Linked DNA regions of Tribolium castaneum. The protein of the gene in region 1 purifies or fractionates together with the protein of each later gene. This does not show direct contact. Links are inferred from orthologs where the notes say so. Each region holds a gene or a part of one and is shown on either strand. Other genes may lie near its edges.

Region 1 (4,323 bases):
GTATCTCTTATTTTATTAATATAACCTCATCTTTTTGATTGGTGTTTCTTTCTATTTTAAAGGCATTGGTCTGGAGTGACGGATTTTTGATTTCTACTACTCAACTGAACTTTAGTCATGGCTGGTTATCGCAAATATTCCTGCAAATACCCCGGATGCACCAGTGATTATGTTCCCAACAAAGGACAGTCCAATAAGCATTTCTTCACCTTCCCTAAGAATCCAAAGCTTCAAGAATTGTGGAGGAATGCCTGCAAAATTGAGGATCCTGTAAGTTCAAAATTTTGGCGTTTTCGCTATTTAGGGTATTTCAGAATTTACTTTTAAGTTTCTTATTTGCGCTCGAGTGTGTCAGTGCACTGCATGTACCTCCTCGTGGTCGTAGCGTGGGCAACTGTTTGCTGACAGACAAGGTAAAAGTCATTGCAAAGCAGACCTTATTTTGTTTTAAGTCTCGAGCAGACAGGCAAAACATGCCAACACTGACTGATTTAATTTTTTTATAATTTTTGTATAATTAAGAAATAATACAATACTTTAATTTTTTGAAAAATTTAATTTGTTATGTTACTCAAGTGTACAATAAAAATGTTAACAAAATCTGTGTTTTATTACCCCAAAACAACTTTTTTTGTAAGTTTCATTTCAAATTTTGTTTAAAATAAATATAAAACGTTTTCATTTTGTTTAAAATGAAAATATATTTTTTTATTTTAAACAATTTGCAATGAAACTTGTAAGATAAAAATAATAAAAAACAATATAAAAGGAATTTATTCAAACGTGGCACTTTACCGTGGTAGTAACGCACTTCAGCACCAGAGGCGCTGGATTCTCGTGTTGCCAGTGATTTACTAGGGAATTATCACTTCTTAACCCTTTCTGTTCTGTGCTACCTGTCAATTCCTAAAACGTCTACAAACATCACGCTCTGCACAAGCGCGGCGCTAAATTTAAATAACACGATATTTTTTAATGAAATAAATTTTCAGATAGACCCAAATCGTTTTGAAACCAGAATTTTCCTGAAATATTTAAATTAAAAACCTCTATATCATTAGTTAGTTACATAATTAATAAGCAAATAATTTTTTTCATTTTAATCTAAAGACGCAAGTACTAATTAAATTCACAATCACAACCTCGTAGCAAGTTTACAAACACGTATTTAATTAAATAAATAAAAAATAGTTGCAATTTTTTAAATAGCGCCTCAAGGCCGTCGTAGTTCCAATGTGACAACACAGAGATAAGTAATCCTAACACAACATTATCTTATATAGAAAAAAAGGGAAACTTAGTGATATTATCGTTGCAATGTTAAAAACATTATCAAGCATTTTATTCCACAATTATTACTAATTAGTGAATTTTTTGTAGGTTTAATTGAATATATGTATTAGGTCGTGTGTTTCAAAAAGTAGTCTATTTGCACGGCTAACGTCAAGCACAGGCAAACAAAAATAAGTGTATTTTAAATTACGTGCATGTTATTTTGATAAAAAATTACCATTTCCATAATTAGTAGTTTATTGTAAAGTACAATACATAAAAGTTACCCCCGCAGTGCGACTTGTGCCCTTTTCCCTGGCAGTGCATCAAACAGTCAAATCAATGTTTTTTGATTTAATTGAAATAAACATTTCCACTAGAACCGTGTGTAGAATAGTCAGTGATTACTAAAGTGTATACTTTTGCTCTATTTTGGGCGTTTCAGGTACTCGTCACTTTAGTGTTGCTTTGCTGGTACCACGTTGTGCTTGTAGACAGGCACTTCAGGAACCCATATTTCTGCGGTGAATTTTAATTGCACTATTAAAATGCCCTTTAGTGCAGACGCAATCGCAGCGCAAAAAGTTCAGGAGCACTTGAAGTCGCTCTATCACACGGTTCATGAGATTGAGAAGAAACGCCAACAGAGTGAACAAGGAATAAACAACATTGTTAAGTTTCAAAATGGGCAAGACGAGAAGTCCAGCCAACATTATCAGGTGTGGATTTTCTGGCATTCGCAAAATATTTTGAGGCATTTTCCGAAAAAATAACAGTAATTTGGGGCCAACATTTTTATGTGTGTATCAGTGTGATTTGTTTTCTTCTTTGTGTCAACGACATTTGGTCCCTTTACCTCGGTCTTGTTCTCAGCGGCAATCGTTACCTAATAATTATGCTACAAATAAAAGTACTGATTTCACTGCAACTTACAGTTAAAATTGTTAAAACGTAAATAATTACAATGGCTTTTAAGATCTTTGATGACATTTTTCTGATCTTTGGCGGCTTACGGTGCCCTGGAAACGCTAAATTAAAAAAAATCGCCTTTGAACCACCTTTTAAAGCTCAATTGTGTTTCAAGTAAATATTTTTGTTTACGTGAATTTAAAGAATTCCATTGTTTCGATTCAATAAGAGTTTATATGATTACTGTAATGATTATATATTGTAGATGAAGCTAAAGAGCCTCTACAAGTCCTCAATTTCGCACGCCGAGCAAGAGGAGGATTTGCTCCGTCAAGCTCTTCAAAAAATTGCGGAAATCCGCAACATTAAGAACGAACGGAGAATTCAAACGAGACATGCTGGAAACAAAGAATCGATTCGTAGGGGCACTTGGATGAAGATGTTAATGAGTTCGGCACAAACATTGCCCCTTTTCGTCGGTAAAATAGACGAAAAACCTCCTGCTCTCTGTGGTGCCACACCTGCTGACTCTGGCTATGTGGCAAAAGTGGGCGATATGGTGGCTGCTTTGGTTAAAATTCCTGATGGAGATGGCGAAAACTGGATATTGGCTGAAGTGTACAGTTATAATCACGCCTCAAATAAGTACGAAGTTGATGATATTTTGGCGGAGCAGAATCAGAAACGGCGACATACTTTGAGCAAGAGAAATGTGGTACCGTTACCCCTAATGCGGGCTAATCCCGAGACTGATCCAACGGCCTTGTTTCCACAAGGAACTGTCGGTAAGTGGAGTTACAACGAACTTCCTCCTGTTTCAAGCACCGATTATGGCAAAACTCTTCGGAAAATTGAAACTATTTTAAAGTTGTCTTTGTAAAATGCTCTGGGAAATCGCTTGGCGTCAAGAAAATGACCAGATTCTTAATAATTTTTAAGATATATTTTTTACACTGTTTGCGATTTTTTTTAAAACTGTTAATCGCAGAACAATGGTCTTTTTTGTAAAAAGAAACAGATTATTAAGAGCTATCCAACGATTATACACTTATTAGGGTTTCGGCTAGTATTTCTGGAATTATTGCCCGATGAATGTCACAAACGTGTTGAAACATTCGGTGGTATGTTAGCACAAAAAAAATCTATGTAAATTTTTTACATTTTTATAATTATTTTATGGGATGTCTCGTGGTTTTTTTGTGTCTGTTTTTGCTAATAATTTTTACTCAGTGTAGTAGATTCCTCAGAGATCATATTTGTTTAAAATTTTTATTAGTAAAGTTTAAAATTGCTCGCCAAATTTAAATTTATTCGCCATCGCCGACGAAAATTCAGAAACCACAAATATTCGGATAATGCAAGTTGAGTTCTTTTGAGCTCTACTCACATTCCTTAAAATATTTGCACAACTATCAAATTATTACTTTTTCGCAAAGGATTAATGTTTTTTTACAATTCTTTCTTATTTCGTCTTATTTGACAAATGATATAAAGCAAAAATAACAGCTAAAAAGACACTCTTTGTTAATTTATCTCTTCTAATGACCTCGGATATAACGAACGGATTTTGACACATTTTCTGAGTTCGTTATAACCGGACACCACGTAAATTAAAATGTTGGTTTTGCGTTTCAGTTATGGCTCTATACCCAACTACGAGTTGCTTCTATAAAGGCATTGTGAACAAGCCTCCCGCAACACATACTGATGAATATGAGATTTTGTTTGAAGACGCTGCGTATCCTGAAGGCTACAGCCCGCCCCTGTATGTGGCCCAACGCTACGTCATTGCCATAAAACAGAAGACAAAGCAAGCCTGACATTATCTTTCAGACACTATGTCTGATTCTGAAGCTTCAAGTTTTATGGAATAATTTATTGGGTAGTAAACATTCGAGAAACTTTCATTTTGTGTTATATTTCACCAATTTATTATTCATCTTTACATGTACATGAATTTTTTTTACATTTTTGTTATTTTCTAATCTAACTTTTAAAAAAATGGAACTCCTGAAAAAAACAGGCTGAAGGTACCTGTAATGTTGCAACATTAAAAATTATAAAATAAAAACGAAACTGTTCAGACCGTAACAAAACTATTCTCATAACCGTTACAACTACCAATTTCTCACCCAATGAACG
Region 2 (4,275 bases), on another chromosome or scaffold:
TCAATAAACTGCGCACTAGCGCCATTGTCTCGCTATTGCACGGGCACATGGAGCTGGGATAGGCCTCAACTTCCCTCAAGTGCCGCCACTGCTCGTGCTTTAGGACGTACTCCATGTGGCCGAAAATTTGAACCAACGGGATGACGGTCAAGTCGCAATCTGCGGCTAGTCCCCAGGTCAGAGAAGCACAAAACTGTGACAAACCTACCCATATCAAGCAACTGTCTCGCCTCTTCTATGGTGTACGGGGCCCCACTGACCTGTGCGCTGTTCGACAGCCCCCCAATCGGCAGCAACTCGCGCGTATACGGGAACGTATCCTCCCATTCTAGCAAAATACCAGTCGCCCCCAAATCTTTAATCAGGGGAAAAAACTGAAATTGACGTTTAAAAGTGAGGTTGTGTCAAACAAACATACTTTTTCGAAGTAGCAGAGCTTCGGAGGGGCCCCTTTCAGGTCCAAGTGGATTAATCTGGGGCAAATGGTTAATTGTGGGTCAGGGGGGTTTGTTCTTACCTTTGGGAACCTAGCGTTAAAGCGTCCATTTTTTAACCTCACATTTCACTTGTCAAAGTAAACAAATCAATTAAGGAGGGTGGAATAATAATAAAAAACGGCTATTGAGGTAAAATTTATTACATTTAGCACTTGATAAATTAATCGATGTCACAATAAAATAAATAAAATGTTTAAATTAGGTAAAATCGTTTAGTCGTAATCTAGGACATGCTTGTGGTAAAAGAGTAAATATCTGGAAGTAGAAAATTACGGGGTGTTTACACAACTTTTCGCCTTACCCTTCCGAGTCTAGAACCTCCTTGAGAGTGGCTCTTGTGATGACGTGATCGTCGCATTTGTACCAATAGTCTTGCAACTGTCTGACATAAGCGGTGTAATGACCCACGTTTATGGAGTTGCCAATGTGGTTAATGACGGCAAAGAGCGAGTATCTGTTATCAGAGGGAAAAGGCGAGTCTGTCTTAGACCTGCTCATAAACGGGGTCATATCTAGCATTTCAGGAAACGAAATCGTAGTAGAGATTTTCTTCTCCATCTGCGACGAAATGAGTGACTTTTGTTTGGATTTCGTGTGGGTTTTTACCTCGTTCATGTGCTGAAAGCGTTTTAAATGAAAACTGATAACAATCGGAAGCGTATTCATAGTCAATTGTTTCGTCGATTCCTGCTTTGATTGGCAATTCGAACACATGATTTTCGAATTTTCGCCTAAATGTTCGGCCCTTGTGAACCTCTCTAAACAATCGACAAGTGAGGTAGGTGGCCGTCCGCCAACCGTGACCGGACCCAAATCTAACGAAAAGTCCGAAATTGGATCAATTGTAGTAGAAACACCACTACCAATGCAACAAGTAAAACCACCGGCTCGCTTAAAAATCCCACTACTCACTTGCATTTCTGACAAACAACGTCACTTTGCAACCCCCCGGTAAAAATCTGGTCGATAATGCAGGGGCATCGCGAGTTTTTCCCCACATTCACCGGCTTTAAATCGGGCATTGTCTCGAGACAGTGCTGGTGGAGCACGTCCAGAGTCGCGATGAAAAATTCGTGGGCGTCTTGCTGCTCATAGCCGGCTAAGTGCCGGGCATGCGTCCAGATTAAATGCAAGAGCTCGTGGAGGGCCAAAGGGACGCGAGTTCCGTTATAAAACTCCTAAAAAAAATTACATTTAAATTAAACGAACTGAGAAAAAAGAATAAACATATTTAAAAAATCAAGAACAGTTTACATAATGTGTGTTATCACTGTTTTAGTTAGACTTTTTTGTAGGAAATTTAATTCTTCTTGATCTAAATCAAAAAATAAAATGTTTGCATTATTTTTTGTTCTACCCGCCTGCATTTTTGTTTGCGCCATCTGGCGCCACTAATGGAACTATCCAGGACGGGGACATTTGAGTACGTTTCGTATCCTAACTTATAGTAACCCGTAGCCTGGCCATATACGACCATACCTGGAAAAGCTTGGAGACCTCGCAAACGAGGCACCGTCCCGACATCCCCTTGCAGTTATGCTCCTCTGTGAGGAAGTAGTCGCGCAACAAGGGGGTGTGCATCAGTGCTTGCACTATACAATTCATGAAGCACGTCTGACCTAAATTAAGCAGCCCCCTTAGCCCGATCGTCGAATCGGGCGTAATACAAATCTTCTTCGTCTTGCTCCTCAAATAATCCCTCTCATCAGACGTAGGATTCCACGTGTCGATCTCAAACAGCCGTTTCTTGCAAGTCTTCGACTTCATTTTATTATCGTTCGCAATTGCGTCGATTTCGGAATCGTAGATGTAGTCATGGCATTGGTTGCAGTGCATCTGCCCGTAGGTCAGGTCCATGGACATGGAGTGTTTCTGGCTCTTGGCATGCTCCCGGATGTGCTTGTGGCATCCGAAAAAGACACACTCGAGGCAGGCATGCAGGAAGGGGCCCCGCTTTTTGCACACGCGACAGCGGCTGTTGCACAACTACAATTCCTCTAGTTAGTTTTAGCAAAGCGTGGCCGATTTTTACCTTGGTTTTGAGGCTCTTTGAGGTGGAGTTGACCACGAACACGGCGTGGATCCACTTGAAAGTGTTCTTGTTTTTGCTCGTTTTCTTGTAAGACTGCAAGTGTTGACACCCAACTATGCTCATTTTTTTCGAAAAACGCGGCTTTGTGTGGGATTTATTGCCCATCAACGAGGTTGCCAACGAGATACAGTCGTGGCCTCAAACTATTGGCCCCAAGCCCCGATTTTTACAAAACTAAACGATTGTTTCCATTCACACAATAAAAAGTTTAAAAAATTGGTAAAAATTGTACACAAATCACGATATGACACTGGTGTCCACCTTTGGACAACAGACTGAGATTTACGGCCACATGCCCACAAGCACGATTCGAGAAACGGTGATCATTTTAATACAACAATGAAACGATTGCTGTGGCTTTCGGGTGATTCCCACAACCCGAAAATGTTATTTTGGGTCGATAAGTTTCACGCAATAATTTAATAAATCAATTTTAGGCCATGTCTCCAGTCGAGCGTCAAGTGGTGGCAATAACAGCCAACATGACGCCCACAAAGTGATACTCTAACACAGTTTTGGGTAATAATAGCCCCTTAATGATCACAAAAATGGAATTAGAATTAAAAAATAGTTGGAGTTTAATTCATGACTTGACCCGTGCCTATTTGGCAATCAACTCCGGCAAAGATTATTTTTTCCTAAGGTTGGCAAAGGTATAGTCAGCTGATAACGCACCATTTTAAAAATAAAGCGCCCGCGCTAATCCCCGACATCCTCCATTGCGTCGTATCTCCACGTCCGCATGCAAATAAGCGAGAGCACCCGAAGGCGTACGTCTGCAAAATCTGACGTTTCCGTACACCTGCCACGATGGCTTCTCCGCCGAATGATAAAAACACAGCAAAAAACGAGGTTTCCGTAAATGTAGACATAACGAAAACAAACATGCAAACTCCAACTAGCAAAAACGTAAGTTTGGCCACAATTTCCAGCCCGGTTTTTATCCGGTGTTTCAGAACCAGTTGGGCGAAATCGCAATCGAAGCGTCCGAAATTGTTAGTAGGTTAGAGCAGGTTGCCGAAGGGACAAGCCTGGCCGATGCGGCCTACAACCAGCCGACGGTGTTCCTGGGCCTGGAGCAGAAGCGCACCGAGGAAATCATCCAGATAATCCAGGGCTTGATCAGTGTGGATGAGGACGGGGAGCCGTTGAGTCTGCACAGTCTGGACAACGTGGCCAAGCTGGTGATGGTTTCGCACAGCATTGCGGCGTTTTGCAGCGGGCTGGAGCGCCCCGTCATGCAGAAGCTGAGCACGAGGTTCACCACGGACGCCACGCGCTGGATCAGCCAGATTTTCGGGTAAGAAATTGGGTGAACCCCCGGTATTAATAAAAAATTGAAGTTTTCTCGACTCGTCGTCGTTTTATCACGACGACCACCTCGAGGGGCTGGTCAGAGTGACCAGAATGATGCTACATTACAAGTACCCCCGGTATCTGGAAGACGGTGCTCTGGCCTTTACTGCCTCGCTCCCAACTATTTACAGCAGTGTGGCGAGTCCTTTGGTCGTAGTCCAGCACTTGTGTCGCCAGTTGGGGCTTCCCCTAGCCTGTGTGAGGCCCGTGCCGGTCAATACTCACTTCGGTAATTCACAATTTTTGGTCAAAGTGGTGACCAAGTCACTTTGATCAGAAATCATTTTATTGCAAGCTTTTTTGAGGGCTTGTCTTCAGGTTCGCAGTACA

The links.
Region 2: the proteins of Sgf29 (region 1) and not purify together in Homo sapiens (affinity purification with mass spectrometry; 6 studies listed by BioGRID and IntAct, with this or other methods). This does not show direct contact. The link is inferred for Tribolium castaneum from reciprocal best matches to the Homo sapiens genes SGF29 and USP22.

Annotation. Positions count from the first base shown.
Region 1 is NC_087396.1:14,033,116-14,037,438, reverse strand, and holds Sgf29 (SAGA-associated factor 29), read left to right. Parts: upstream 1-1,390; 5' UTR 1,391-1,668; intron 1,669-1,717; 5' UTR 1,718-1,820; coding exon 1,821-1,991; intron 1,992-2,446; coding exon 2,447-2,966; intron 2,967-3,816; coding exon 3,817-4,001; 3' UTR 4,002-4,088; downstream 4,089-4,323. UniProt on the Homo sapiens protein: Chromatin reader component of some histone acetyltransferase (HAT) SAGA-type complexes like the TFTC-HAT, ATAC or STAGA complexes.
Region 2 is NC_087399.1:1,665,312-1,669,586, forward strand, and holds not (ubiquitin carboxyl-terminal hydrolase nonstop), read right to left. Parts: upstream 3,037-4,275; 5' UTR 2,695-3,036; coding exon 2,530-2,694; intron 2,484-2,529; coding exon 1,977-2,483; intron 1,676-1,976; coding exon 1,410-1,675; intron 1,357-1,409; coding exon 799-1,356; intron 753-798; coding exon 710-752; 3' UTR 620-709; downstream 1-619. Other genes in the region: hexosaminidase D, read right to left, coding at 1-165, 209-374, 419-473, 518-546; pyridoxal-dependent decarboxylase domain-containing protein 1, read left to right, coding at 3,400-3,498, 3,546-3,889, 3,933-4,174, 4,264-4,275. UniProt on the Homo sapiens protein: Deubiquitinase that plays a role in several cellular processes including transcriptional regulation, cell cycle progression or innate immunity.